Linked DNA regions of Ovis aries. The protein of the gene in region 3 interacts with the protein of the main gene of each other region in a pairwise test. Links are inferred from orthologs where the notes say so. Each region holds a gene or a part of one and is shown on either strand. Other genes may lie near its edges. The genes, in order: SH2B1, SHC1, INSR and MAD2L1.

Region 1 (7,939 bases), on a different chromosome or scaffold from region 3:
TGTGAGCCCCCTCGATCACACGTGAGTTTTTGCTGATGAAATCACTAATAGCAAGCCTCTACATAGCTTCAAGATGGGGACTGGTCAGCAGAAGCCCCAACTTTATGATTAGAGGGTTGGGATTTTGAGCCAGTTTGATCTCCAGGGAGGGAAGGGGACTTGAAGATTGAGCTCAGTCACACGGCAGTGATTTACTCCATTGTGCCTAAGTAGTGAAACCCCTAGTAAACACTTTGGACACTGAAGCTCAGTGGGGCTTCTTGTTGGTGAAGACACTGATGTGTGGGGAGAGTGATATGCCCCAAGTCTACGTGGACCCTCCAGGATTTCTCCCTATGTAGCTCCTCATTTAGCTCTTCCTGACGTATCCTTAATTATAAAATACAATCGTAACTGTACTAAAATGTAAGTATAGTGCTTTCCTGTACCCTGTGAATTGTTCTAGCAAATTATCAAGCCTCAGGGGGCTCATGGACACTCCCAGATCTGTAGGTGCTTGCCAAGGATAGATGGCCAGGGGACCCCCTTGCAGCTGGCATCTGAAGTGGGGGCAGTCTTGTGGAGTGAGCCCTTACCTTGCGGGGTCTCTGCTAACTCTGGGCAGTAAGTGCCAGAACTGAACTTCAAGTCACCAGTGGGGGTTGAAACACAATACTAACCCTGAATGGACAGTTGTGACCGTGAAGGATAGATTAGGTTGATTGGTAAACACTGGATCATGGACCGATCAATCACCTGAGGTTGGGATAGGCTGAGCACAGCAGAGGGTGGTTCTTCAAAGGAAAACCAGAGTCTCTCACTGAGGGGGAATTGGTTGCTTACCAGCTTCTTCTGGAGGTCATCTGGACCCTCCCCCGCCCCAAGAGATGGATATGTCAAATTCAGCCTTAAGTGTTTTGGCCAGAACTTCCTGTCCTTCCAAGCAAATCATGCTTTGCACAATCAGAACACTCTGACAGCTAACATACTCCATCTTCACTTAGGTTTGTCTCTGGTATTACACACGCCATTTTCCCCACTTCTGCCAGTTTTCCTTCTCTGGTTTCAGGCGCCAAAGTGTAGCCTCCTCTAAGAAGCTATGCAAGGCCAATGCACCGAGGCAGCCTCTCAAGTGCCTTTTATTTAGCAGCTTTTGTGTGAGCTTCACAGAGTGTTTCCAACTGGAATGTCTCCAGTCACATCTGAGTGACATGAGTATGATTGGAGTTCTGTGTTTGGAAGGATATTCAGGGCCAGTATGGGAGCGTTGAGACTGGATATAGAGAGGAGATGGGTGCAGTGGTCCAAGAGGGGGATGATGCTGACCCAGCCAAGGCAGTGCAGTGGGGTTAATTCCAAGGTGAATGTCCAGAGGGATTTCTGAGGAGACACTGCCAGGCTGGCTGGAATATCCTGAGTGACAGAAGTGTCTGTAACTTGTGAGCCCCTAAAAAGAGTGAAAGATGCCCCTGAGTTTCCAATAAGTCTGTTGAGTGGTACCAAGGACAAGGCTCTAAGTCCTAGTCCCCAATTTGCCACTAAGTTATAGGTCAGCCCAGAACCCATGTCAATTACAGCAGACCCCACCTCCTTTTAGAAGCTACAGCTACAAAAAAAAAAAAAAAACCCTTACAGATCATAGTTTTACCTCTTCACTCCCCCCATTTTATAAAGCAGAGGCCTCAGAAGTTCTAGTGATTCGCTTGTATTTTTTAAATGAATGTGAATACAAAATTTGCTTTCCACTGAAAACACAGAAACTTAAGCCCAACACAATGCTTCACTGAATGATCAACTGAAATGATTCAACAAATTCTTCCTTCAACAAATGTTTCTTGACCTAAGTGTTAGACACTATTCCTAAAATAAAAAGTAAAAGTTCTTAGTATCATGAGCTGGTGAGAGAGAAAAAAGTAACAAAAAACAAAACCCAACAAACAAGCAAACTACTAAGATAATTTTGGATATTTAGGTGCTATCAAGAAAATAAGAGGACCATTGATAAGAGGGTGTCAAAAGAGGTGACATGTGAGGTTGGAAGACGAGAAGGAACAAGCTGTGGGGAAAGCTCCAGGGAAGAACATTCCAGGAAGATGGAAGCACATTTGCAAAGACCCTGAGGTAAAAGCAATCCTGGGGTGTTGGTGGAACAGAAGGATGCCCAGTGTGGCTGGAGAGAGTGAGAGGAAAGTACCAAATGGGGATCAGAGAGGTGGACAGGGGCTAGATCATGGCCATGCCAGACCACAGGCCCCAGGGAGGATGTCGGACTTTTTTTTCTTAATGTTTACTGACAAAAATATGTATGTTACTGAAATATAATTTACCTGCCATACAATTCACCCATTTAAATAAGTAGGAGTTTGGATTTTATTCCACGTGTACTAAGGGAGGATTCATTTCTGATTCACATTTTAAAGACTGATCTGGTTGTGTGGAAGATGGATTTGACAGATATTGAGAGTAAGGACAGAAGCTGGAGGACCCACTGGAGAGATCATGAGGTAACTTAGGCAAGAGATGATCCCAGTTTGAAGCCCAGTGTTGACAGGGGAGAGAGAGAAACGGTTACACTGAGATTTATTTTGGAGAACCAGTGGGACTGGGTAATGGACAGATGTAGGTTTGGGGGAAAAGGACAAAGGTGGTGCCATTTATTCAGATATGTAAAGAGAGTATGGGAGAAACATAGTGTCCTGTTTGGAGTATGTTAGGTTCATAGCATCACAGTGGTAGCACCCTTCGATTTGGAAGGCTCATGAACAGTTCAAGTGCAAGTATGCACAGAGACCTGCTATGGCCAGGCACACAGTATATGGAGATAAAGGAAGCCCAGTCCTCACCCCACTCAAGTCACTTAGTCTCAGACAAGTGACACCAAGAAATACGTCCAAGTGCTGTAAGGCAGACTTATCTGTTAGGGTGTATTTGGCTTTAAGTAACAGACAACTCTAACACCATCTGCCTTAAACAATAAAGACACTTGTCATCTCACACCATGTAGAGTCCAGGCTTCTAAGATCCTCTTTGCCCACTTCTGGATTTTTGGCTTCACCACGGATGGGAGCATGATGGGCATGGTAATTCCAGGCTTCCCATCCTGATCCAACAACTCCCAGAGTCAGAAGGTGGTCTGTCTCCTCGGTGTCTCCTCCTTCTTTTTAAAATATTTATTCATTTATGGCTGTGTTGGGTCTGAGTTGTGGCACGTGGGATCCTTGTTGTGGCACGTGGGATCCTTGTTGTGGCTTACAGATCCAGAGCACTCCACCGGCTCAGTAGTTGTGGCACATAGGCCCAGTTGCCCTGCAGCATGTAGGATCTTAGTTCCCCATCTGGACTTGAACTCAAGTCCTCTGCACTGGAAGTCAGATTCTTAACCACTGGACCACCAGGAAGTCCCAAAGGTCACTTTTTTGATGTAGAAGCGGTTTCAGGACCATGAGCAGCAGCTGTTGCAGACAAGTCTAAGTCCTGGCATTTAGTGTCTGGTGGCAGTGTCAGGAGAAGCAGTTTTCTTACCAGGTCAGGTCAGACCTGTGGCTTAGGATCCATTTCTTCAGCCCGTTCCACAATTCTGTAGGCTGCCTACCACCTTGACACAGTTTTCCAACCAGCCCATGTAAATTCTATTATCTGCAAATCCAGACTCCTGTGACATAGGGTGCAACAGGCAAAAGCTCTACAAAAATTCTGTCCCTCTGGACTCTTTCCTGAGCACTGTGTTTTGCAAATTTCAGTCATTCACATACACCTCTCCCCAGATTTGCCATATATTCATATCACCCATTTTATCTACCAAGTGTTGTTTTTTTTAATTGATTCAACATTTTTTTAAATACAACATTTACAATGCCAGCCTTTCTTTCAAACTAATACACATTAAAATGAATATAGCACCACTAAAAAAGAAAGCATTAATTTAAGTACCAGCCCCCAATATTTCATATCCTGGTTAGTGGCTGATAGTGTCTTAGGATAAATTTCTAGAAGTGGAATGACTGAGGTTCAGGTTGGGGACAAGGAGAACCCTTTCATATTGTACAAGCCCTTTCTCATCAAAGCTGATGGGTTTAGAGGGCCAGGAAGACAGAAGTCTTAGCAAGTTTCTCATTGTAAAATGACAGTTAAATTATAGTTCGGTGAAGTGGCTAAATGCACACTTTTTTGGAGTTTAGCTGTGTTGGGTTCCTTAATTACCGTGATGCTCAGTTTTCTCACTAGTAAAATGGGGTCCTATCACACAGTATAACATTGAATGTGATACTGAATGAGAAGCAACATGAAGCACAACGCCTGAACCATGAAAAGCTCTAATTCTGAGTCCCCCAAACTCCTATGAGTTTAAGAAGAGTATTAAAAATAAATATAGTTTTCTTGTCTGTACCCAGATACTACTGAATCATAATCTCCAAGGGAGGAATTAAGGAATCTATTTGAAACAGACACCATCAGCTGAGTCTTAGGAGCTGATGAATTTTGGAAACATTAATCAAGGTTAAGCAGCTGCTATTATCATCCCACGGTGATGAGATGATGGATGTGAAAGTTAAAGGTCATTTACTATCCTTGCACTCATTCATTCAGTCAACAGACATTAATTGAGCACTCACTGAGTGCCCCGCCCTGTGGTAGGTGCCAGGGACACAGCGGGAACAAGACAGACTCAGGCTGCCCTTAAAGGCACAAGAAGTTGGTCTCTCACCTGGTCATCTGTAAAACCGGGTGGGTTGACCGACGATCCAGAGAATTACTCTGGCCTGCTGAGGGGCGACAGGGGTGGACAGGAAACTCTGTCCCCCCTGGCTCACAGGGCATTTGAGCCAGGGGAGGGTCTCAAAGACTGTAGGACCCGGAGGCTTTTGGACCCCTTTTCTGCCTCTTGCCCAGCTCATTTCCTCTCAGAGCTAGATGTCAGGATCTTCCTGTAAAGTAGATACTATTCCCACTTCACAGATAAGAAAACAAAGGCTTAAAAGAGAGGTGGGTCACACTAGAGACCCACCCCCAACAGGTTCTCGGGAGTCTTCCCTCAGCCTGGCCGCAGCGGCTGGTCCTACCTCCAGCTGCGACACAAGGCCGCCAGATCTGTCGTCAGACCCGCGCGGCGGGTCGGACTGGACTCCAAGTGGTTCGGGGCCAAGACGTTCCGGAGTCATCCACGCCGGGGCCGCTGCCTCTGCTTCAAGAAGGCCTGGACCGTCCCTCCGGACCTGGCCTCGCCCTCCCACGATACGTGCCAGTACAGCTCACGGCCCTGGGAACTACAACGCCCATGAGCCTCCGGGGCGTAGGCGCGCTATGAGATGCTCCACATCGCCTCCCGGCGCCACCAGAGAGAACTGCGTGGCTCCTGAGCCCGCGAGGTTGGAGGGCGCCGTGGAAAGCTTCCCCACCTTACCACCATCAGCACTTTCCTGGACGGGTTCTGTCGCGCGCCCGGAAGTTCACAGGGCCATAGAGATTGGAGGCTAGAGGGGCCCAGACGTGCCCTCTCGGTCCTAACTTCCGCCGGAAGCGACTTCCATCCGCAATTGCCCTTTCCCCGCTGCACGCGCCGGCCCCCGTGCCCGGTACTCTCTACGGCGCCAGTACGACCACAATGGCGGCCGCTACCCTGCTGCGCGCGACGCCCCTTTTCAGCGGTGAGGGGGCGGGGAGGGCCACGGCGCCCCGGGTTCACGTGGGGGTCGTCGGGAGCGGCCGGGCTCAGACCTGCGCCGTGACTCCAGGCATCTGCCCCGGCAGGTCTCGGCGCCGGCCCAGCACCACTATTGCAGGGTCTTTTGCGGCAGCTGAAGGCCCCGGCATTGCCCGTCTTGTGCCGTGGCCTGGCTGTGGAGGCCAAGAAGACCTATGTACGTGACAAGCCCCATGTGAACGTGGGTACCATCGGCCATGTAGACCATGGCAAGACCACCCTCACCGCGGCCATCACGAAAAGTAAGTGGGGTTGGGTTGGGGGGCTTCCAGCAACGCCTGCTCTGCAGGTGGGACTTGGAGCCAAGGGGGCGGGGCCCGCGGAGGAACTGCCTAGGTGTTTGGTGCTGCCCCAAAGGCGCCAGGTGGCTTCCCAGGTGGCGCTAGTGGTAAAAACCCCGCTCGCCAATGCAGGTTAGGCGTAAGAGAGGCCGGTTCGATCCCTGGGGTCGGGGAGATCCCCTGGAGAAAGGAATGGCAATCTACTCCAGTATTCTTGACTGGAGAATCTCATGGACAGAAGAGCCTGTCCATAGACTGTCCTTTTCTAAAGTGGAAAGGGCCTTGCTGAAAAGTGTGTTCCCTTCCTTCCCTTAGTTTTAGCAGGCTACAGTCCATAGGGTCGCACAGAGTCGGACACGACTGAAGTGACTTACCAGGGCACAAGGCGCCAGAAATTGGGCGGACAGTACACTGCAGGATGCAGAAGACAGATTTCCCGTGAACACGAAGTTTTTGATGCATAAGTTGGGGGACCCCCCCAGTGGCCTCCCTCCAGCCCTGGGAAGGTGCCCTGTAAGCAGAATTGTTGGCCTAGAGAAGTCACAGGGCTAGCCCTTGAGGCTCTATTTTCTTTCTGATCTGGAGTTACTAGTCCCAGGAGTTGAAGGAGGGTATCTTGGAAGGTTGCTTTTCCTAGACTGTCCTTTTCTAAAGTGGAAAGGGCCTTGCTGAAAAGTGTGTTCCCTTCCTTCCCTTAGTTTTAGCGGAGGGAGGTGGGGCCAAGTTTAAGAAGTACGAAGAGATTGACAACGCCCCAGAGGAGCGAGCCCGAGGTATCACAATCAATGCGGCTCATGTGGAGTATAGCACAGCCGCCCGCCACTATGCCCACACTGACTGCCCCGGTCATGCAGATTACGTTAAGGTGAGAGAGCCGCTGGGGACAGGGCTTGGGAACTGCCCCCCTCAGGAAAAACGTTAGGATTGTGGGGAGGAGGTTAAGATATTTGAGATGTATGGGTTGGAGATCCTGGATCTGTGGGCCTGGCCAGTCACAGCAGGTGGTAAAGAAGTGTCTGTGCTTAGCTAGGTGGCTGGGGAGTGGAGGAGGTCATGGAATTGCACTACTTCCTCTCCTCTTTCTCCCCAGAATATGATCACAGGCACTGCCCCCCTCGATGGCTGCATCCTGGTGGTGGCAGCCAATGATGGCCCCATGCCCCAGACCCGAGAACACTTACTGCTAGCCAGACAGGTACTCAAGAGCCTGGGAAGGGGTGGAAGGGGGGGCGGGCGGGTGTTGGGCCATTCAGGACACCGTCTGTGTGTCTTTCTCACCTGCAGATTGGTGTCGAGCATGTGGTGGTGTATGTGAATAAGGCGGACGCTGTGCAGGACTCTGAGATGGTGGAGCTGGTGGAGCTGGAGATCAGGGAACTGCTGACTGAGTTTGGCTACAAAGGGGAGGAGACTCCAATCATTGTTGGTTCTGCCCTCTGTGCCCTTGAGGTGAAGGCGGGGTCAGGCTGGGGAGGGGGCTGGATGGGCACCCAGAGCTCTGCTCTGAGTCCAGGGCCTAGCTCTGGGCAAGTAAGAAGAGCAGAATGGAAGTTTCAGAGTCCTGTCACTTCCCGCTCATAGCAACGTGACCCTGAGCTAGGCCTGAAGTCCGTGCAGAAGCTACTGGATGCTGTGGACACATACATCCCAGTGCCCACCCGGGACCTGGAGAAGCCTTTCCTGCTGCCCGTGGAGTCAGTGTACTCGATCCCTGGTGAGGACCTGGCTCACTGCATTCCCTTCCCCTCTCTGCCGCTTCATCCGGTGTCCCTGATGCCCTGTCCTGTTCCCTCCCAGGCCGGGGCACAGTGGTGACAGGCACGCTCGAACGTGGCATTTTGAAGAAAGGAGACGAGTGTGAATTCCTGGGACACAGCAAGAATATTCGCACTGTGGTGACAGGTACAGGAGGCAGCCTTGGGACCCAGGCTAGGGTGACATCTCCCCCCCACAGACCCCCCCCATGCCTTCCCTCTGC
Region 2 (7,346 bases), on a different chromosome or scaffold from region 3:
TAGAGAGCACAACCACCATAGTGCGTAACTGTTTTGAAAACAGACAGAACTACACTGGAATCCCAGTTTTGACACTGAGTAACCTCAAAGCCCTGGAGCAGGCATTGAACATGTTTAAGCTTCAGGTTTCTCATCTGTAAAACTGTGACAATGCCTACCTCCCAAAGCCGTTGAAGCATTTTAGCACAATCCCTGATACTTAGAAAAGGTTCAGCAAGTGATAGTTGTTATCATCATGGGGGAACCGGAACAGGACACACAGGGGAGTGGACGATTCTAATCCCCACTGATAAAATATCTGGTCAAATTGTCTCATCCCTACCCTACTCCCAAAATATAAAACTGAAGGAAAGGACCAGAAAAAGAGTAAGAAAGACAACTTTCTCTTCTCCCTGTAGCTGATGCAAGATGAAGACATTGAGGTGGGAGAACAGAGATCCCAAACGGGCTACCAGAAATTACCCCCACAACCAACCACCATTCACCTGAGTATTTGACTTCCTTCGCTTCTTTTCTGGACTCTTCATTTGCAAACCTGGAAAGGCAGTAAAAGGCAGACACAAACAAGTTTCCCTGAGGTTCCCCCAACATCCTCTCTCCCAAGCACGATCTAGGAGATTCTTCTAATTTCAATACATTCTTGTTTATTTACTTAGTATCTACTTTGTTAGATACTAACAAAGATACACTATGAAGAATAAATGGGATGCCACACTCTCAGCTGCCTCTCCCTTTAAATGAGAGACGTCCCCATCCCTTGATAGCCTCAGACTCCCAAGTGGCTCCTTCATTCCAGGTGCCCCAAACTCTAGGATCGGCAGTCAGTGACCCCTCGTCCCCAACCCCTGGAGGGCTTCACCCACCTATCCTTTCCACTGAGCATCCCCTCTCTTCAGGGCCCTCAGCCTGAGAGCCGCCACCTCCCCGGCCCACCAGCCCTCCCTCCAAGGTCCGAGAGTTCTGAGCCTCGCCAGCCCCAGCCCCCTCAGCGTTCTCACCGGCCTTGCCCTGCTTTCTCCCGGTGCTGGGCGGCGCAGGGGGCGGTGCGGAGCCGCCACCTCCCTCCAGCTTGTCCGGTGGGGGCGGCGCCGAGGCGGCCATGGAGTGGGGGACCCGGGTCAGCAGCGGCGGGGGACGGACGCGCCCTCGGGTTGCACCATGGCCCGGAAGAGAAGGCAGGGGCGGCGCAGGCCCCCGCGCGGCAGCAAGCCCGAGGGGCGGCGAGGCGGGGCTGCCGAGCCGCGGCGCCAACTGCACGCTCGCCCTGCCTCACCGCCCGCCAGCGACCGCAGCCACAGGAAGCGGAATTCGGCGTGGCAGCCACCACTGCGCTCGGCGAGGAGGGGGAGCAAGGCCCGGGCCAGACCCTCCCCCTAGCGCTGGGCGGGCAGGGCCGTACCAAGGCGCAAGCCTGGGGGAGGCCGTCTCCAGCCCGGGAGCGCGGCGTGCCGGCTCGCTAGGGAAGACGGCAGCCGTCGGCCCTGCGGCTGGGCCGTACCATCCCGCGCCGAGGGGCCGCTGCAGGGGTGCACGCTGGCCCGAGCCGCCTGGGGTCCGGCTGTCCGCGATCCCACCCCGCCTCGGTCCCCGCTGCAGACACGAACATCCCCTGGCATGGTGGCCCCGCACGCCCCACCCCGCCGCACCCTCCTACGAGAATCCTTCCTTAAGTTCTCACTCGAGTGCGACCCAAGCGAGTCCAGGTGAGGCCGAGTCCGGCCTCCAGCCTCTCCTCCTGCCGTGGGGGGCGCCCAGAGCCAACAATAAGCTGAGACAGAGACCTAGAGGCCGAGGTAGAAGAAATATGGACTTTAATGAAGATTCTTTCCCTTTGGTATAAGTGAGACCCGTGAAAACATCCAAACAAAAAGAAAAGAACAAAAGGGAGGCGAGGATTTAGATAGTCCACTCTCCCTTAGCTACAAAGCCTAAAGACAGAGCAGGACCGGCTCCTCTGTTGCTGCTGCAGGGCGAGGCCTGGAGAAGGGATTAAATAACCGTGACCCCGCCTCGTGTGAAACTAACAGCCAAACTTCTGCCTCCCCGCCTCGCAGTGGGAGGGCCAAGTTTCTGTAGTCCTAGCTTACACTCCACTTCTCTGGGTCTCTCTCGTAGAAAAGATAATGCTACCGATTCCAACTGCCCCACAGGCCGGGGTGAGGAAAATGCCAATAGTCGTTAAAGGGCTTTGAAAAAGTCAAAGAGGTGATGTATAAATGTCATCGATTATCATCATTTTGTGCTCAGGAATAAGCTCTGGAAAACAAATTAGGAAAGTAAATCTACAGCCCTAAAATATATGCATATAAAATAAAAAACGCAGTTCCAAACCTACCAATGGTATCTGGGGATTGTCTACTGCTTTAAAGTCTCAATGCCCCTGTTCCCACCTCGACCAAATCCAGCTGGGATGGCAGCTCCGTCACCCCCCTCACCACCCCTGCAGGGGGAGGCAGGGCAGAGGCCAGGAAGAAGGGCTGTACTTTGGCTGTAGAGTATAACATGCATGCAACATGGTGGGGGGGGGGGGTGGCTTACGAAATGTATATACAGAGCCCTGGGTGAGGGGCCCCAGCCAGGAGGCACTGAGCAAGGGAGGGGTCCATCTCCCCACTGGCTGAGAGCAGGGTGCCGCGGCAGTCTCTAAGGGCTGCACATCCCAGGGAGAGGGGACAGCTGCTACTCCTGCCTCTGCTGGCCCAACCTAAACTGGAGGAGGTGCTGAGCGAGGAGAGGACGGGGTCCCAGAAGCCAAGAAGCTGTCAGCACCCCCATCCTTGACTTCAGGGGCCCAAGAACTCTTTGCATAAAATATCTTCAGACCTAGGAGATGGTCAAAGGCACAAAATTTGAATGCTGGGAGGGAGGGTTGTTGAGGAGTCTGGGGTACCCTGAGCCCAGGGGTAGACTAAAGGTATGATTCAGTTCCCCTTCCCTGAAAGGGTGATTACTCCACTGGGCCTATCACCACAGAACATCTTCCATTACCAGGAAGCATCCTGCCCAGGCCTCCAGCACCCACCTTGGGGAAAAGGGTATCAAGTTGGCACAGGAAAGGCCCAGGGAAGGGGGCCACTCTGTACATTAATACTTTGGTGAGGTTTGGGGAGAAGCAGGACTCTACCCCTGGTTCCTGACTCAAACCCTCTCACTCAGCTGCATGCTGAACCCAGTGTCCACAGTATCCCCAGTCCTACACAAGGCCAAGCCCACGAACACTCCCAAGTGAGGTCCAAAGAGTCAGGGAATAGGGTGGAAGGGACCGCAGGCCGTCTTCTGAGAGAGAGCACTGGAACAGGTCACAGTTTCCGCTCCACAGGCTGCTGGAGACACAGTTCGCTGCCCGCAGAGATGATGGGCAAGTGATTGTCCATGTGGTAGCTGATGAGGTGACTGACACTCTCAAAGCGGTGATCCTTTGTCCGAACCTGGGGAGTGGGAACAGAGAAAGGAGATTCAGGTGAAGAGTCAGATAAAATCTCAGTCTCCAAGGCCGAGGAAGCTGGGATAGTCAAGAGGGTTGAGGCAGGAGAAAAAGATGGCAGGAGAGGGAGGGCTCTCAGTTCTGATCACTGAGGCTTCTCTGGGAAGAGAAGCTGGAGACAGATGTGGGAATGGGCAAGTCAGTGAACTGGGAAAAGGCAGAACAGACATGAGCCCAGAAGTCGTGAAACTGAAGGCTAGCTACTCCTTCCCTGACCTGGAGGAGGGCGGTATGTCCAAGAAGAGGATACACAGGACACAAAAAGACATGCAAAGGAGGCTGAGACTGCTGCAGAAACAAGAGTGAAGTCATGAGGGGCAGCGGGCGGCGCAGACAGGAGACAGGGCTCTGGTCTGACTCCTGAGTCTGCAGGAGCTGGGGAGGCCCCTGGCTCCTCTTGTGAAAAGTTTCAGGATATTTCGCCTCTAGACATCTGACATAGAGCACTACAATTCTGGCGGATGGTTTCCTTATTTGTCAAAAGAGGGACTAGTGAGATGACCACTTTCTAGCTCTCAAGGGCACAACGTTTGGGGACTGGCAAGGACTGAAGGGAATACAGCTCAGGTGAGGGATGTGAGAAGGGAAGGAACTCTAAACCACTAGACGAAGGAGATGCCAGACACCTGGGAACAGGGGAGGCCCAGACAGAGGTGCCCAGCAGACAAAGTCTAGGAAGCAGTGAGGCAGGAGCAGAGCCACAGGTAGGGGACTGCACCTTCCTTTCTGCCATGCCCACCTACACCCCTGCCACACTCACCACTCCCTCAGGGTCCACCAGGAGCAGGTGCTTGGGCTGCCCACTCTGCAGGCCGGTGAGCACGTACTGGCCCGGCGTGGTCGTGCTTTCCCGCACCAGGAAGTCCCCGTTGACTTGTAGCAGTGCCTCAGCCTCGCGCCGGCTCAGCTTCCCGTGGAACCAGGGCTCCCCTCGGAGCTGCTCAGCCATGGCTGTTGACTGGGGAGGTGGAGGCATTCGCAAGGCATCTTCAAAGGGCTCTGGGGATACAGAGAGAGGGCTAGGAGAGGCAGCTGACACAACCCTATGCTCAGGACCTAGACCTTTAGGGAGGGGAGGCCAGGAAGCAAAAAGCAGAGAGGCAGGAAAAGAGGAGGAATCAAGTGAGAAGATGGAGACACAGAAAGGCGAGAGGCACACTTACTCATATCAAAGAGGTCTCGGGGTGCACTACCATTGATGGCAGGATTGGGGGGCCCGGCCCCGGCCCCTGCTTGCCGGGCCTTGTCTAGGTTCTGGACATTGACGTACGAGGGGTCATCAAAGAGCTCTCTGCCTGCTGAGAAAACGGAGGCTTTAGAGGGGCCCCGCCCTGCTTCTCACTCCCCTCTGCCCCTCAGTCCCCTTCATACCTGAGCAGGGTGGCGGGGGCGGTATCTGTCTGCGGGCTTCTGGGTCTCCCCCAGCAGGCTGCCCCACAGGCTGCAGGGACCAAGACAGAGTGAAACCAGAGGCCCTAACCAGCTGCTCCCATCCAAGCCCCACCCGCCTCCATCCAAGCAACATACCAGCGTGGCTCCCAGGTGGCTGGGGGTCTGGGCACTGGGTGGAGTGGGTCGAGCAGCCCCTGGGAGGGCTCCTTCCCGAAGCCTCATGTCCACCACACCCCCGAGAGGTGGTTCCTTCCCCGGGAAGTCATTATAGTACTGATGGTCAGGGGGCTCTTCCTCCTCCTCATCCCAAGCTGAGCCATCAAAGCCAGCCATCCTGAGAGAGACAGGAGGGAGAAAGGAGTGTGGATGGGAGGACGGAGGGAGAACGGAACAGTGGTCACGTATGGGGCATTCCCTGAGGGGTAGGCCTGAGGATGGGTGTTTCACGTATAATCATTTCACTCTCTGGGCAACCGATAAAGCACATACTGTTTCCTTCTCCAGTTTTTTAGTTGAGGAAAATGATGATCAGGGATAAAAAGATTTTGGTCACACAACTAAGAAATGGTCAGACGGCATCACCGACTCAATGGATACGAGTTTGAGCAAACCTTGGGAGATAGTGGAGGACAGGGAGGCCTGGCGTGTTGCAGTCCATGGGGTCGCAAAGAGCTGGACATGACTTAGCGACTGAACCACCACCGCTACTGGTGGAGCCGAGTGTCAATTCAGAGTTTGCCTTAACGTCATGCCCTTGATCGTCACGCGGTCTCCCAAGAGGGAGGGGAGACACCAAGTAACCAGGGAGGGGGTGCCCTAGAATATCCCAACCCCTCCTCTAAATACTCGATCCTACTGGTCTGAGGTGGGAAACGTGACCATCTCAGGAAAGAGCCATCCTCCCTTGCCCAAATTCTTGATGGCTTCTAGAGGCAAGAACGTGAAGAACTAAACTACGTATGGACAGAAGCACAAAAAGACAGACCAGAAACGAGACGGCTGGGAAAAGAGAAGCCCGTCTAGCCAGGGACAAGCTGGACGTCCTGCACTGCAGCCCCGCCACGGGCGCCCGACGGGAAAAGCTGGCCCTGCAGCGGGCAGGGCCACGGAGCACCTTCCTGCCGGCCACAGGAAACTTAAGAATAGCAGGAAGCAGGGGCACGCAGGTTATTTCCTTCCCTGCCCTTTTCTGAGCTGGACTGTGGAAGAGCAGGCCTCCTTTTCCAGTTCTGGTCTGGGGCCCCCGGGAGTGGGCTGCCCCCCGCCCCCACCTGCCTCACCCGCGCACCTGTCGTGGGGGGTGACGAGCCTGGGTGGGTTCCTGAGGTACTGTTTGAAGCGCAGCTCGAAGGCCTGGCCAATGGTGCTGATGACGTCCTGAGCAAGCCCTTCGGGACACTCCAGGATGTGGCAGGCTGGGGGTGCAGCAGAGGCTGTTAGGGAGCTGGGCGGCGGGGGGACTGTGGGGCTGGGAGGAGGCACAGACGGGGCCCTCGGCAGGAGGGGCCCTCGGCAGGAGGAGCCCCCGGGTCCTGCTCACCTGCCCCTTGGACAGCCAGCCCCACCCAGTGCTCCCCATCCACACCTCACCTCTCTGATTCACTGGGTCTTTGGCAACATAGGCAACATACTCGGCTGTGTCCTGGGGTGGACAGAGGCAGAAGAGGCCAGTTAGCTAAACTGTATAGCCCCACCCTACTCCTGACCCCTTCAGGCCCCTTTCTCAGACACTGCCGCAATCCTAGCGGGCTCACTTCTCTTGCCAGTGTCCTCCCAATCCCTAGCCCCCTACTCTCCTCCCACCACCTAAGCTCCATTCCCCAACTCACCGGGTCCCCGCCGGATGCAAACGAGATGGACTGCATGTGGTGGTTGGCAATGATCTGAGGGTTAGGGCAGAGGATGGAGAAGGAAGGGAATGATGGGCATCAGGCAGCCTCAGAGTCTACTGGGCACCGCCCACCACTGGCTCAAGACCCTGGCGTCCCAGTCTCATCCTTTTGGCTTCTCAACGCATGTTCTCTTAATCTGCTCCTTCCCTACTGTTCCACTGCTCCCAAGCCTTCTCTCCCAGTGTCTTACCCTCATAACCAAGTTCCCATTTAGCCCTCCCATCGATGTTTCTGCCCACCCCACCCCCGCCGCCTCACCCCACCAACCTGTTTGCAGTCTGCGGCCATGAGGTTGAGGCTGCTGGTGGAGACGGTCAGAGTGATTGGCATTCCAGCAAATTTCAGGTTACTCCTCCCCAGAATGGAGCTGAGTGGACGGCTACAGGGCTAGGGAAGGGCCCACGGGTCTCAGAAGCTGGGGGGTCCCCCACACCAGGAAACCCCCACACTCCTGCCTTCTGGACTTCTCCCCACCTGCCCCACACTAGCCTTCCCCCTGCTCCTCCACATCTCCCAGCATCCCTAGCCCCACAGACCCCGGGTACCTTTCTCCTCCTTGTTGCCCCCTTAGCACCCGG
Region 3 (7,924 bases):
GACACAAGCCAGATGCTGTGGGCAGAGCAGTGGGTGAAAGGTGAGAGAGCAAGGGTGATGAGTGCCCATCAGCGGTTGGGGGAGGCTTGACAGAGGAAGGCAAAAGGTGGGTGGTGGGTACCGGGGTCCTGGGGAGTATTGAGTGTTTATAGGCTGAAAAGAAAAAGGCTTCTGGGTGGATGGAGATCCCTGAACAGAGGGGAGAGAGGAGGGGACCTAAGTGGATAAGTGTCCTGCATACTAAGTCACTTCAGTCGTGTCTGACTCTTTATGACCCCATCGACTGCAGCTTGGCAGGGTCTTCTGTCCATGAGATTTCCCAGGCAAGCATACTGGAGCAGGTTGCCATGCCTTCCTCCAGGGGAGCTTCCTGATCCAGGGATTGAACCCACACCTCATGTGTCCCCTGCATTGGCAGGTAGGTTCTTTACCACTAGCACCAAAAGCAGTGGTTCTCAATCAGAGGACAGTTGGTGGTGTCTGCAGACACTTTTTAGTGGTCATGACTTGGAGAGGGGCGTTGCTACTGGTCAGAGACCGCAGACAGTGAGCAACATCTTAAGATACACAAGACAGCCCCCTGCAACCAAGAACTATCCAACCTCATAGATCAAGAGCACAGAAATTGAGAAGGTCTATTCTAGCCAAAAAATAAAGGATGTCAATGAGGAAGTGGAGTGAGGTGGGGGCCCATGGGGTGAGGCTCGCCCCCAGTGACCTCTATGAATGAGCAGGGCAGGGTCGAGAGGCAGGTCACCAGGAGGGAAGCAAAGACTAGGAAGAACCTCAGAGAACTGACCCAGAGAGCAGAAGTTCTGATCTGAGGGTCCCAGAGTGCACCAGAGAACCACAAGAGAAACACTAGATTCCACCTCGAGATGTAAGGGGATCCAAAAGCAACATCTAGCACCTCAACTCATCAATTCACTGCCCCTGCCAAGATTCAGTTTCCACTATAATTAATCCCACTTTGCCTTCATTCTCTGACTTTGCAGTGCTCCTGGGTCATCTCGGGCCAGAGTGGGTCAACCCAAGGAGACATGGGAGGGAAAACCACTGCCCAGTTCAGCCAAGCCACAGAGACTCCACAGGGGGGATGAAATGGGCTGGCCCATCCCATGTGACATCGAGGAGAGAGTCCTCAGTCCTTCAAAATCCCACTGATCTCCATCGACCCCACCCCCACCCCAGACAGAATGCCACACTGCTTGCTGCTGGAGATTAACCAACGATCCGGAAAGTTCCTTGCCCCTCCCCAAACCTCCGAAGGGCATCACATGTCATTTATTCGAGAGTATTTTGTTAACCTTTATACCACAGGGGTTAGGGCGGGGAGGCTCAGAGTCCCAAGAAGAACCTTCTGTTAAGAAACCTTTTATTAACAAACCGGAGTTCTCATCTCAGCACTGCCACCTCATCCAAGTTCCTCACCTTCGAAATGGATGATAAACCTTACCTCGGAGGGCTGTGGTGAGGATTAATCGAGATTATCAATGCCGAGTGTGTAGAATTTGCTTGTATTTGTGTCAGCTAGGTTTTATCTGAAGAATAAAGGAGCCATGACTTGGACTCCTGGGAAGAACAGGAAGGACAGGAGTTGGATCTAGAACAAATATTTAGGACTTCCCTGGTGGTCCAAGGGCGACAAATCCTCCTGCCAATGCTGAGGACAGGGGTTCGACCTCTGGTATGGGAAGACCACATGTGCTGCAGAGCAGCTAAGCCCGAGTGCCACAGCTGCTGAGCCTGCACTCTGGGGCCAGGGAGCCACAACTATTGAGCACACGAGCCACAACTACTGAAGCCGCGTGCCCTGGAGCCCGGTCTCCACAACAAGAGAAGCCGCTGGAATGAGAAGCCCATCCCATGCACAGCAACTACAGAGTAGCCTCGATCCTCACACCTAGAGAAAAGCCCAGCACAGCAATGAAGACCCAGCACGGTCAAAATAAATAAATGTATCAAGCATCTCCTAGGTGTCAGGGGCTGCTCTAGACTCTGGAACTGTGGCAGTGAACAGAGAAACATAAGCCTCTCCCTCGTGGAAGCTATAAACATGCAAGAAGTGGCAAATCCATCCACTGACCCCTGAAAGTGAAAGTCGATCAGTCGTATCGGACTCTTTGGGACCCCATGGACTGTATGTAGCCCACCAGGCTCCTCTGTCCATGAGATTCTCTGGGCAAGAATACTGGAGTGGATAGCCATTCCCCTCTCCAGGGGATCTTCCCGATCCAGGGATCAAACCCAGGCTCCTACAGGCAGATTCTTTACCATCTGAGCCACCAGGAAAGCCAGCCCAGGCACAAATCCACCATTAATTCCTAAAGCTACCAGGAACAGAGGAGCAAGGAACTGCATGCATATACAGATGTGCACCCACACACAGACACACACGGGCATGGACACACAAAGCCGGACACAGATCTAACAGCTGGTCTGGGTTTTTGTGTGTGTGTGTGTGTGTGTTTTTTTTCTAACAAGAGCCTAAATCCACTGCTACCCTTCCTTGGAGGAGCACTCACTGTATACCAGGCACTTGGGTGCTTGGAGACGTTGCCTAATTGGCAAAGGTGCTCCACAAACCCGGTTTGTCAACTCCAGAGCCCCCACGTGCTTTCTCGTGCATCCCCACTCACCGACAGGCAACTCAGGAACTTCTGTTCCTTCCCTGCCTGACCCCTTCCTCATCGGGACTGATTTCCTTTTATGGAGAAATCTGAAGAAGTAACCCAACACATATTTTGAAAGCAGGGCCTCCGCCATCATGGTGGGAAACCCCAGTTATATTCTCTTCAAGGATTTTCCATCCTTGACCTGCAGCCAGAAAGACGTGCTGTCAAGCCCAAGGAAAATGCTGGGACTTACCCCTCTCCCCATACCAGGGAGCTGCTAGCCCAGGGACACTCATGAGGGAGAATTGGAAGGGAGAGGGGGCAAGGTGCTGGGCTGACCACAGATTAGAGACCTGCCCAGCTGACAGGTAAAAAGGTAGAGGAGGGAGGTTACCAGGGGTTCCTGGGGCGTGGGCAGCTGGGCAGAGCCCTGGGCAGAGCCAGAGAGGTTTGTCTTCTCTCTAGCTCTGATTCTGGGGCAAGTGAATTCTGTGTCCTTCCTGAGCCTCAGTTTACTCCTCTATGAAATGGACCAACAACAGTATCAGCCTCCACGGGCTGCTGCAGAGATCCAGACAGATAAGACCGGCCAGCCCGAGGCATCTGGTGACACCAGCTATAATAATCATAAAAGCCAACACTACTGCTACTACAGCTGCGCTGTTGCCAAGGGCTAGAGCTTGCCTCCGACATCTGGAAACAGAATTCCAGAGTATAAACATGGACCTGAAGTCAGGGGTAGCCGTGGGTCTAGATACCAGAAAGAAAGGGGCGGGTTCTACACTTCCTCGGCCCCTGGGGGAGCGTCACCAAGCTGCTGGGATCTCAAGGGACCACCCTGCCTTCAGTCAGTCACCCTCGATTCTCACTCCAAACCGTCTGTGCCCGGGGCATTTGGCTGTGTGAGAGTGTCCGATGACCCTACTTCTCGGAGGCGACCCAGAGAGGACGTGTGTCCCGTCTCTGGAGCCAGGTGGTGGGCTCAGAGAGGCCCAGACACGGGGGTTCGAGGAGCGCTCTCGGGAGAGGCGCCCGCGGAGGGGCGGGCACTAGGGCAAGGTTCCTCCAGCCCCGGGCCGCATGCGGGTCGTGGAACCGCTAGCCCAGGCGGGCAAAGGCCAAGGTCAGCGGCTTCCCGCCCCCCGCGAGGCCGGAGAAACCGTCCGAGCCACCAGCCCTCCGACGGAGGACGGCACTCCGTCCACAACGGGGGGTGGTTCCATTTTGGCAAAGGGTCCCCTCCCCACCCGCGCGGCTTCCCGCCCGCTCCGGGACCCCCCAGACTCACCTTCTCCAGGGTACAGGTGGCCCGCGGCGCCCACCAGCAGCGCGGCGACGACCACCAGCAGCAGCACGGCTGCCGCCCCGCTCCCGCCCCCGGCGCCCATGGCTGAAGGATCAGAGCGCGGGGCGCTGGCTGGCGGGGTGCATGCTCCGAGGCGGCCGCCCCAGAGGCGCTGGGGGTCGCGCGTCCTTCTCTTCCACGCGGGCAGCCCAAGGTCCCGCAGCCTGCGCCCGGGAGGACTCTAGATACGGCCCCGGGAGGGGCGCGCGGCCTCCGCTGCTACGAATCCGGCAGCGCGGCCGGGTGGAGACGGTCCCGACTCCGGGCCCCCGCGGCCCGCGCCCCCGTCCCGACGATCTCAGGGCCCGGAGCCCCGCGCTGCGCCCCCCTGACTCTAGGCTCTTGGCCCCGAGCGCTCCGGAGCTCCGATCTTCGGACGCGCGGACAAACGGACGTGCGGACAGGCGGGCGGGCACCTGGGCTGGCGGGTGGCGGGCAGGCGGCGGGAGCCAGGGCTGCTCGGCCCGTAAACAACGCGGCCCGTCAGCTGGGCCCCGTTCGGGCCGCGGGAAAAGGCGGCGCGGATCTGGGCTCGGAAGGGACTCGGCGCCCGGCAGAGGCCCGAGAGGGGTGGAAGGAGGACGGGCAGGGGGGAGGCGCCGCCCCGCCCGCCCGCCGGTCTCCCTATCCTGGGCCCCGCGCTGGAGGCCCCCGTCGCGCCGTAGCCGAGGGGGCGCCCTAGATGCCTGCCCAGCCCCAGCGCCCCGTACAGCCCCAGGACTCCTGTCTCAGAGCCCGGGAGCGCCCCAGATTGACCAACTCAGCAAGTCGGATCGCGTGTTTAAAACATTTTGCTAGTTTGTTCTTCGTGGGACTTTAGAAAATTCATTTTTATTTTTTTAAATATTGCATTAAAATATTGTTTATCGTGGTTACTCGGCTTTTTGGTACTCCCTTAAATGTTGCGTTCACCTTCCCCTCGTCACAGTCTGGCCAGTGAGTATGGCCCTCGAGCGCCCCGGATGTCCTACCCCAGAGTGCGCCCCCGCCCAGAGCCAGGCCCCTGGGGACAGCCACGTGCACGAGCGTGCCGCGTGCGCTCAAGTATTGGGTAGCCTGGCCCCTCCGCACGATGCGTGGTTCAAGGTGGAGAAATGACCCTTAGGAGAAAGTGTAGAAACTAGCAAAAAAAAAAAAAAGTGCAAACCAGGCGCTGGAGATCTTCGGTAGAACACAGGTGGACACACCCAAGTTTCAATGCGCAGACCCAGAGTCCGTGTGTGTTTGAACGTCAGTCACGTGACAGTGGCCACCCCGCCTGCTGAAGAGGGGCCTTAAGCACAGAGAAGCCAGAACGGAGTGAGAATCTGCTTGAATGAGTAATTTTTCTCTCTCTCGATGGGCCTCATCTGTATGATGCACGTAAGGACACCTTCAGGTCAGATTTGGTGAGTTGTAAGGGCTTCCCGGAGAAGGCGATGGCACCCCACTCCAGTACTCTTGCCTGGAAAACCCCATGGAGGGAGGAGCCTGGTAGGCTGCAGTCCATGGGGTCCCTAAGACTCGGACAGGACTGAGCGACTTCACTTTCACTTTTCACCTTCATGGATTGGAGAAGGAAATGGCAACCCACTCCAGTGTTCTTGCCTGGAGAGTCCCAGGGACAGGGGAGCCTGGTGGGCTGCCGACTATGGGGTCGCACAGAGTCAGACACGACTGAAGCGACTTAGCAGCAGTAGCAGCAGCAGCAGCAAGGGCTTCCCAGGTTGCTCAGTGGTAAAGAATTTGCCCACCAATGCAGGAGACGCAGGTTAGATTCCTGGGTCAGGAAGATCCCCTGGAGGAGGAAATGGTAGCCCACTCCAGTATTCTTGCCTGGAAAATCCCATGGGTAGAGGCAGGCTACAGTCCATGGAGTCGCAAAGAGTTCGACATGACTGAGCTCGTGTGCATACACACACACACACACACACACACACACACACACACAACGGAGCACGCACACGCATGCACACACACAGTCTCCCAGGGGAAATAAAGCATGACAAAGCACCCAGAACAACTGTTGGCTGAGGGCATTCATTCTTCCTTTCATCTATTAAACAAATATTAGTTTGCCAGTAGATGGGCCCACTGTTCTTCTAACTCAAGTCTATTCCTGCCTCCCCTGTCCTTCTGGTGTCTGGCTCCACTTGTCTGTTCCAGTGAGCCTTCCCTGACCAACTTTGCAAACACTCCCTGTCCCCTCCTCCATTTGTTCCTGTCCAGACAGCACGCTGGTGTCTCTACCTGAAATTCTGACTTATTGTGTGTATTCACCCCTCCCCAGGAAGGCAGAAATCTTGTCCATCATGTTCAGTATTTTACACCCAGTGACTGACATATCCATTGCTTAATAAATATTTGTTGAGCGGAAAAATCAACATGCAGTAAGCAGTGGGGATTCGCAGGGAGCCAAATAAACACCATTCATTTCCTTGTAGACCTCACAACCCAGTGTAAGGAGAAAGCCATTAAGTCGCACATCAGATGTTTTATAAGGTGAGGTGGGGAGAGGCAGAAGGATTCTCCAAAGAGGTGATTTTGAACTGAAATCTGAGGAGAGAGAGCCAGCCCAGGGAAGCATCAAGAAAATGTTCCAGGTGGAGGGAACGGCGTGTGCAAAGGCCCAGAGGACAGGCCAGTGTTCTCACAACTGAGCCAGGCACTGTAGCTGGAGAAAAGAAAGCAAAGAAAGAAAAGGGGAAGGCTGGGCTGGTAGGCGAGACTAAAAGGGATATACCATGTATGGGTTGTCTTCAACACACCCTTTATCCTAAAAGCAACAAGGATGCATTAAAGGGTTTATACCAAAGGGTTGGGCTTCCCTGGTGGCTCAGACAATAAAGAATCTGCCTTCAATGCAGGAGACCCAGGTTGGACCCTGGGTCTGGAAGATCCCCTGCAGAAGGGAATGGCTACCCACTCCAGTATTCTTGCCTGGAAAATCCCATGGACAGAGGAGCCTGGCATGCTACAGTCCATGGGGTTGCAAAGAGTCAGACACAACTGAGCGACTGAAGTCAACTGACTGAAAAGCCACCAACAATTTCAAGCAGGTGGCATTTGCTAAAATTCCAAGGGACATACTGCCCTCTGGAAATCCTTCAGGATGCAAGACCTCCACATAAAGCTGGGTATAAAGTCAGAAGAATCGTTGTAGTTGTGGCTTACTGGGAGAAAATGAAGACACCTCCACTTCCAGAAGAAAAAAAGCTCATTATTTCTTCTGTAAGCTACCCCCGCACCCCCTCAAAAAAAATACCAGGATATAAAAAATGAAAGTCAACCTCTGCCTCTTCTTAAAAGCATTGGAATGAAAGTAGAAAATCACCATTTGCTAATTTCCAAAATAATTGATTCTGGCAAGAGCCATCAATGAACGTTAAAAGTGATGGTTGGAAGCTTGAAAAGTAATGGGGTATTTCCATGGTCTGCAAGTATCTCTTCGCAGCATGTTTGTCCAAAAAAAGAAAAATGGTAGCTTTGTGAAAGAAAAATCTGGCTTAACAAAATGATCAAAGTTACTCCTGGATTTTCTTTTGCAATAAAATAAATTATTGGGACAGTGGGAAAGATTGAAAAGAGTCTATCAGTTCCACAGTGATACTCTATCAATATTAATTTTGATCCTTTTACTGAAGTGATGTAACAGAATGTCCTTGGCTTTAGGTAATAAACATCAGATGAAGTGTGTAGGGGTTAAGGAACATAATATCTGCAACTTATTCTCAAATGGTTCAGAAAAAAAGAGAAAGAGACAGAGAAAGAACAAAGCAGGTGTGATTTTTAAAAGTGTGATGAAATTGGTTAATCTGATAAACTGTGCATATAAGGATTAATTGCACTATTTGTGCAACTTTTCTGGACGTCTGGGCAGGTATGTACTCAGTTGCTCAGTCGTATCTGACTCTGTGACCTCATGAACTGTAGCCCGCCAGGCTCCTCTGTTCATTGGATTTTCCAGGCAAGAATACTGGAGTGG
Region 4 (7,891 bases), on a different chromosome or scaffold from region 3:
TGCAATGCGGGAGACCTGGATAGGATCCCTGGGTCAGGAAGATTGCCTAGAGAAAGAAATGGCAACACACTCTAGTATTCTTGCCTGGAAAATCCCATGGACTGAGGAGTCTGGTGGGTTACAGTCCATGGGCCCCAAAGAGTTGGACACGACTGAACATCTAACTAAAGAAATAAATAAATATATATATATATACATATATATATATATGCACACATATATACATTTGTTTCTCATACTAAGACTTCAAAATCTGGTACTTTATTCTTGTAGCATATCTCAATTCAAACCAGCATATTTCAAGTTCTTAAGTCACATGAACTTAAGTTCTTAAGAACACAAAAAAAGTACTAACAAATACTTGCTCTACAGATGGAAACCTCATATATTTCACCAGCCTTCTAGAATTTCCAAATTATATTGATACTAATGATTGTTTGCATCTTCAAAAAATTTACAAACTATACTATTGTGAAACTGAAGGATGTGTTTCCTGAAGTGCTAAGTAGTAAGCTCCTTAGAAGAGAGACAATTTCTACCTGGAGAAAGGTGGGCATCACGCTCTACCAGCGTGGCTCTAACCCAAAATCCTGGTGGAAGAAATGAAAGGTGATTTAAAGACACACAAACACACTTGTACCACAGAGACTAAACGATGTAGGGAAAGTATTACTGGATGAAGTCAGCTTATTACCTATATACCTGTTTCACTCTTCAAACTGATTAAATTCTGATATATAACACTGTGTATAGGCAGAGTTCTAAGACGGCCCCTCAAATTTGTGGTCTCTAGGGAATATATCCTATATAATCCCTCCCGTTGAGTGTGGCCAGACATGTATTTACGAGGCAAAATCATTTTGAAGATTCAGTTCAGTTTAGTCGCTCAGTTGTGTCCGACTCTTTGCGACCTCATGAATTACAGCACGCCAGGCCTCCCAGTCCATCACCAACTCCCGGAGTTCACTCAGACTCACGTCCATCGAGTCAGTGATGCCATCCAGCCATCTCATCCTCTGCTGTCCCCTTTTCCTCCTGCCCCCAAGCCCTCCCAGCATCAGAGTCTTTTCCAATGAGTCAACTCTTCTCATGAGGTGGCCAAAGTACTGGAGTTTCAGCTTTAGCATCATTCCTTCCAAAGAACACCCAGGGCTGATCTCCTTGCAGTCCAAGAGACTCTCAAGAGTCTTCTCCAACACCACAGTTCAAAAGCATCAATTCTTCAGCACTCAGCCTTCTTTACAGTCCAACTCTCACATCCATACATGACCACTGGAAAAACCATAGCCTTGACTAGACGGACCTTTGTTGGCAAAGTAACATCTCTGCTTTTGAATATGCTATCTAGGCTGGTCATAACTTTTCTTCCAAGGAGTAAGCGTCTTTTAATTTCATGGCTGCAATCACCATCTGCAGTGATTTTGAAGCCCCCAAAAATAAAGTCTGACACTGTTTCCACTGTTTCCCCATCTATTTCCCATGAAGTGATGGGACCAGATGCCATGATCTTCGTTTTCTGAATGTTGAGTTTAAGCCAACTTTTTCACTCTCCTCTTTCACTTTCATCAAGAGGCTTTTTAGTTCTTCACTTTCAGCCATAAGGGTGGTGTCATCTGCATATCTGAGGTTATTGATATTTCTCCCAGCAATCTTGATTCCAGCTCGTGCTTCTTCCAGCCCAGCATTTCTCACGATGTACTCTGCATATAAGTTAAATAAGCAGGGTGACAATATATAGCCTTGACATAATCCTTTTCCTATTTGGAACCAGTCATTTGTTCCATGTCCAGTTCTAACTGTTGCTTCCTGACCTGCATATAGGTTTCTCAAGATGCAGGTTAGGTGGTCTGGTATTCCCATCTCTTTCAGAATTTTCCACAGTTTATTGTGATCCTCACAGTCAAAGGCGTTGGCATAGTCAATAAAGCAGAAATAGATGTTTTTCTGGAACTCTCTTGCTTTTTCCATGATCCAGCGGATGTTGGCAATTTGATCTCTGGTTCCTCTGCCTTTTGTAAAACCAGCTTGAACATCTGGAAGTTCATGGTTCACGTATTGCTGAAGCTTCGCTTTGAGAATTTTGAGCATTACTTTACTAGAGTGTGAGATGAGTGCAATTGTGCGGTAGTTTGAAGATTAGGTTTAACAAACAGGAAATCATCTGCCTGGGTCTGACTTAATCACATGAGCTGTTCAAAAGGCCCTCCTTGGAAAGAGAGTGCAAGTGTGACAAGGGCTCAAGACTGGCCTCTGGCCAATAGCTAGCAAACCAGTGACGACCTCAACTTAAGAGCAAAGATATTAATTCTGCCAGGAGCCAAGGACCTCAAACCCGGAGTTTAGATGAGATCTCTCTTGCAGCCAGGTGCCTTTAAACTTACCAGGCTACATAGAGCACCCAGCCATGCCATGCCCAGACTCTTGATCTAAGGACTGAGATAATAAATGGGCGGTGGTGTTGTTTTTTAACCACTAATGTGTCATAATTTGTTACACATCAATAGAAAACTAATACACTCAGGCACTTTTTCATATAATTAAATAACTACATCTGGGCAGGTTTCTCAGACTTCATTTCACAAATAATTACTCCACCTGCTGTAGGAATACAATTGCTTCACAATTGACATGACATTAGCAGTGCACTATCTGCTTAATTGGGTTTCCCTGGTGGTTTAGTGCTAAATAATCTGCCTGCCAATGCAGGAGAAGCTGGTTTGATTCTTGGGTGGGGGAAGACCCCCTGGAGGAGGAAATGGAAACCTACTCCAGTATTATTGCGGGGAGAACCCCATGGACACAAGAGCCTGACAGGCTACAAGCCCATGAGTTCGCAAAAGAGGCAGACACCACTTAGCGACTAAACAACATCTGCTTAATACTTCTCATAGAAACATTAAAAGCCACTGGATTTGAGTCAAAATTCACTGAGAAGCTCTTTAGTGTTGACGAGCCTTTTTGGCGAGAGGACTTTATTCCCTGACCAGTTGCCTAGGGGTGGCGAGGTACACAGAGTAGAGGCTGGACTATCAGACGCAGACTTTTGCTGCCCCCAGGCTCCGCCTAGCAGCGGGGTCGGGGGTAGACGCGAGCTGAGCCAGGACGAGGGGACAGAAGGGATTCCGTTCGTCCCTTTCAGACCTAGCCCAATTTCTCAGGAAAAACACCACGCCGGCACAGTAATACCTCTAAAACCTGCGGCACGCAGCTGCTTCGAAAGAAAAGTGAAAGTGTTAGGCGCGCAGTCGCGTCAGACTCTTTGTGACCCCATCTGCTGCAGCCTGCCAGGCTCCTCTGCCCATGAAATTCCCCGGGAAAGAATCCTGAAGTGCTTTGCCATTCCATTCTCCAGAGAATCCTCCCAACCTAGGAATCGTGCATTGCAGGTCTCTGGCATTGCAGGCAGAGTCCTCACCGTCTGAGCCACTAGGGAAGCAAACTCCCAGAGCACCTAGCAAGTTCCGACCGCTAAGGATCACTGGGGCCACTCAGGGTGGCGGACAGTTCATAACACTTTCAAAGAATCTTTCAAACTCGGGAATTGTGCTCCTAGGTCGCTCTGTCCGCAGACCCAGAGAGCGGCCACTGAAACCTGGACCTACCGTCTTGCCCGCTAGCCGCCAGCCCGCCAGCCAGCCCACAACTACAGCAAGAACCCAGACAGCTGTCACCACCCGGGAACGGCGCCGCCACGCCTCCCCACTGCGCCTGCGCGAACCGTCGCTCCCGCAGGGGCGGAGAGAACTGGCCGGACCCCGCCGCGCAGGGCGGGGGTCTAGAGGCACTTCGCGCCTGCGCAAAGGGCGCGACAGGCGGGGTCTAGTGGCCTTCGCGCCTGCGCAAAGGGCGCGACGGCGTCCTGCGTCGTTCCTTTTGAAACGAGTGGCGGGGAACTGCTCCGGAAGCCCCTGGCGTCGCTGTCTGCTGGGTGGAAGCGCGTCCCGTCCTCCGTGGGCCTGGCCATGGCGCTGCAACTCTCCCGGGAGCAAGGCATCACCTTGCGCGGGAGCGCCGAGATCGTGGCCGAGTTCTTCTGTAAGTCCTCCTCGCACGGGGCGGAGGGCGGGGAGAGCCGAGCGCAGGCCGCCCGCAGGCCCGCGGCTCGGCCGGAGCGGCCCCGAATCCCGGCCCTTGTACCGCGGCCTCCGGTGCCGGCAGGAGGGATCAGGAAGTGGGGCGGCGGGCGCCGCCTCCGCTCGCGTCGCTCCCGGCGGAGGAGGCGGCCCGGGCGCTGCGGCCGCAGTGCCGCCTTGCGAAGTCCCCTTCGCGGGAGGGTTTCTTTCCAGTGCAGAGCTCCTCCCACAGCCCCCGCCCCCGCCACGGCGAGGGGCCTCGGGTGGACCGTGACGGGCTAGACGTCTGAGCTCGGCCAGGTGTACCTGCTGACAGAACCTGGCAGGACCGCTGAGGATAAGAGGAGGAAAGAGACGGGGAGAGGCCTGCCTGGGCTTGGTACCCGTCTGTCAGTTGCCTGTTTTGACACCCTCTAATCATAAAATAGGCATTTGAACTTGTTCTACAATGAAATGAAATTTGGCACTGGTAGATTAGTGCAGTTTGGCATTTTTCTTCTGTTGCCACATAAATGCAGCTATCAGACGCAAGATTTTAAGGATTTTTTTTAATGCCACTTTGTACCTACTTGGCTTTCAGCAAAACACAAACACGTGTTTAGACATTTATAACTTTACACTGTTAATGAAACCATAGCCCCATCTACATATGCTTTATTTCCCCCAAAGTTACAACGTGACGATGACTTTAATATTTCTTATGTTTTCAGCATTTGGTATCAACAGTATTTTATATCAGCGTGGCATATATCCATCGGAAACCTTTACTCGAGTGCAGAAATATGGACTCACCTTGCTTGTAACTACTGATCCTGAGCTCATAAAATACCTAAATAATGTGGTGGATCAACTAAAAGGTATTTTATTGTTGGACACAGTTTTGAGTTTTGCAGGCCTTTATGTGAATAGGATCCTCGGGACTTCCCAGGTGATTCAGTGGTAAAGAATCCACCTGCCAATGTAGGAGACACAAAAGACTCAGGTTCCATCATGGGTCTGGAAGATCCCCTGGATGAGGAAATGCCAACCCACTCCAGCATTCTTGTCAGGATAATCCCATGGACAGAGGAGCCGGGCGGGTTACAGTCCATTGGGTTGTAAAGAGTTGGATAGGAGCACGCATTTTCTAGCTTCTTGGTGGTCATTTTTCAGCTCTGCACAGGGTAGTGTAAATCGCACTACCATATCCGATACAGTGAACTAATTGGAAGGGAAGCAAATAACATACAAATTAAAAGAATTCCCACCCTTCCTCCACTTTTGAGTAGACTGAATATTTTAAGGTTCGGAATCTGATATGGCTTAACAAAACAATCTCCATCAACTCCTTCAGGGATGATAGAACACATTGGAATTTTATGTTATTATGATGGCATTCGTTATCTGAGAAAAATACACTGCATGTATTTTTTGTAGCTGCTTGGAGTCTGAAGCCATCATTGTATATATTAAGATGAAGGAATTAAAATCAGATTCAACTTAGGGAACTAAACTTTAAAAAGAAGGAACTACTAAATAACAGCACTCATTGGAATTTTCTTATTTTTCACCTGTTTCCATTTCTTTTTTTTTTTTTTTTTAATCACGCCTGTGAGTCAGTAAGCCTTTTCTATCTGCACACTCATTTTCTTCTTTTAGCTCAAGAAGTTGCAGTATTGTTGGATTAGTAGCTCCATCTATTCCTTTTATTTCTAGAATTTCTACTAGTTTCTTTTTCATATTTCTCTACACTTAGGATTCTCATTTCTAATTTCTCTGTGTTGTAAAATGTTTCTCCTTTTCTGCCCATTAGATCTTCCAAAATACTAGTTCTAAAAATACTACAGCCGCATTTTTTTTTAACTTTAAAAGTCATGAATCACTTTTGTTGTTTCAGCTAGCTTCATTTTCACATTACATCATTGCGTTTTCATTAACTTCAGAGCTAAGCCACCCATAGTCATTCATACGGCTGCACTCAGATTGTTTGGTATGGAACCTCTAGGCAACTATGGATGTATGTCTTCATCTTCATCTGAAGAAGTAGCAAGCCAGCCTTGCCTAAGTTACTGGTTTTTGGTTTGTGTCCTTTGAGACCAATAACATTTCTTGTCAGAGGTATCTACACTTTCCTACTTAATTTCTCCCTTTTAGTTAAAATGGAGGAAATGCTTTACAGGCAAATTGTTCAATTCCACTTTTAAATTCTACTTCTCTAGCGTTAGGAACTTAACCCTGTTTCCTCTCTCTTACGTTGTCAATTTCTTTGTTTTCATTTGGATTATTCCCATTGGTTTCATTTCCATTTTTAAGAGAGAAAAAAATCGCCAACTTCCCCATATCTTCAAATTACCACTCAATCTCTTTTTCACAGGTAAACTGGTAAAAGTTGTTCATATATGCCAGGAGTGAGCGAGGCCAACAGGCCAGATCCAGCAAGTGGCTTATTTTTGTACTGCTTGCAAGCTAAGAATATTATTACATTTTAAAGAAGACTATGCAACGTAGGTGACCCATAAGACTTCAGTATTTCTAAAATATTTTCTATCTCTTTAAAAAAAAAAACCTGCCGATGCCTGAATAAAGTATTCTCAGTTTCTAAGATTGAGGGCTCAGCCTGAGGCCCTCTTACTATAATCTGTCTCTAGTTGACCTCTTACATGTACATAATTCTAGTAACAAGTTGTGTATCTGACTCATGAACCAATATCTAACCAAAGCCTCTCCTAACTCTTGGCTCATATATTGCCCCCTTATGTCTTTATGCAGCTATATAATATACTACTTCATACTCACTATATTAAAAACTGAATTTAGGATCATCTCCATTTCAGTTCTCTTTCCTCTTGGTGACTGGATCAACCATCCGACTACTGATATAAATCAGAAACTTGGGAGCTATCCCTGATTCATTCCTCTTCCTTACCCTGAGGTAATCCAATAAGTCTTAACAGTTTTAACCATGAAATCTCTTGAATCTGTCTACTGCTTCATCTCTACCAGTGTATCTTCTCCAAGTCTTTATTAGCTCTTGTTGGAGTTATGCATGAATTAGTGCCCTAGATCCCCTGTTTACTTCCAGTTTACGGGAAGTTTTGTTGTTTCAGCTAGCTTCATTTTCAGATTACATCATTGCGTTTTCATTAACTTCAGAGCTAAGCCACCCATAGTCATTCATACGGCTGCACTCAGATTGTTTGGTATGAAACCTCTAGGCAACTGTGGATGTTGCCTAGAGGCCAAGAAGGATAGTTTTCCAATACAACTTGAATCACATCATATGCTGCTTGAAACACAGTAATGACCACTTTAGTTCTTAAGAGTGTCACATCTTTAATTTGGTGCTCATGACCTCGTGTGGTCTGGCCCATTTATCTTGTCAGACCAGCCTTGTCCATCCTCCCTTTCTTAAACTGCAGTTGTATTGGCCTCCTTTCAGTCCTCTGATCCAGTGCTCTGTTTTGTGTCTAAGACCTATACCTTTAGCAGGGAGATCCCACATGCCACAACTAAGACCTCACACCGCCAAAATAAATCCATCATTTCATATTTTAAAACCTATACCCTCTTTCCTGTTTTGCATACATATACGGTTGTCTCTTAGAACAAAACTCAAACCCCCGAGTCAGAATTTCCTATTCTGTGCTTTAATTGTAGTATATGTTGCACCATCATAGGTAACCGCTATTATGTCATAGGAAACTGCACCATCATAGCAGTTAGAGCAGTTATAATTTCACATTTATTGTTGTGATTTGATTAATGACATCTCCTTCACCCTTCCCTTGGATTACGATGGAAGTACCTCGTGTTCACTGTCTTAGCACCCAGTGCTATAC

What was found.
Region 1: the proteins of INSR (region 3) and SH2B1 interact in binary tests that used the Homo sapiens proteins (3 or more experiments, as listed by UniProt). The link is inferred for Ovis aries from reciprocal best matches to the Homo sapiens genes INSR and SH2B1.
Region 2: the proteins of INSR (region 3) and SHC1 interact in a two-hybrid assay, tested with the Homo sapiens proteins (2 studies listed by BioGRID and IntAct). The link is inferred for Ovis aries from reciprocal best matches to the Homo sapiens genes INSR and SHC1.
Region 4: the proteins of INSR (region 3) and MAD2L1 interact in binary tests that used the Homo sapiens proteins (3 or more experiments, as listed by UniProt). The link is inferred for Ovis aries from reciprocal best matches to the Homo sapiens genes INSR and MAD2L1.

What each region holds. Positions count from the first base shown.
Region 1 is NC_056077.1:26,475,272-26,483,210, forward strand, and holds the start of SH2B1 (SH2B adapter protein 1), read right to left. Parts: upstream 5,410-7,939; 5' UTR 1-5,409. Other genes in the region: TUFM (elongation factor Tu, mitochondrial), read left to right, coding at 5,582-5,624, 5,728-5,922, 6,660-6,826, 7,052-7,156, 7,246-7,410, 7,543-7,675, 7,759-7,863. UniProt on the Homo sapiens protein: Adapter protein for several members of the tyrosine kinase receptor family.
Region 2 is NC_056054.1:105,185,444-105,192,789, forward strand, and holds the end of SHC1 (SHC-transforming protein 1), read right to left. Parts: coding exon 7,314-7,346; intron 7,156-7,313; coding exon 7,036-7,155; intron 6,760-7,035; coding exon 6,706-6,759; intron 6,519-6,705; coding exon 6,467-6,518; intron 6,292-6,466; coding exon 6,165-6,291; intron 5,211-6,164; coding exon 5,012-5,210; intron 4,926-5,011; coding exon 4,856-4,925; intron 4,783-4,855; coding exon 4,648-4,782; intron 4,484-4,647; coding exon 4,245-4,483; intron 3,429-4,244; coding exon 3,300-3,428; 3' UTR 1,795-3,299; downstream 1-1,794. Other genes in the region: PBXIP1 (pre-B-cell leukemia transcription factor-interacting protein 1), read right to left, coding at 486-535, 999-1,101. UniProt on the Homo sapiens protein: Signaling adapter that couples activated growth factor receptors to signaling pathways. Participates in a signaling cascade initiated by activated KIT and KITLG/SCF.
Region 3 is NC_056058.1:13,931,779-13,939,702, forward strand, and holds the start of INSR (insulin receptor), read right to left. Parts: upstream 4,489-7,924; 5' UTR 4,004-4,488; coding exon 3,904-4,003; intron 1-3,903. UniProt on the Homo sapiens protein: Receptor tyrosine kinase which mediates the pleiotropic actions of insulin.
Region 4 is NC_056059.1:5,752,350-5,760,240, forward strand, and holds the start of MAD2L1 (mitotic spindle assembly checkpoint protein MAD2A), read left to right. Parts: upstream 1-3,856; 5' UTR 3,857-3,962; coding exon 3,963-4,035; intron 4,036-4,783; coding exon 4,784-4,930; intron 4,931-7,891. UniProt on the Homo sapiens protein: Component of the spindle-assembly checkpoint that prevents the onset of anaphase until all chromosomes are properly aligned at the metaphase plate.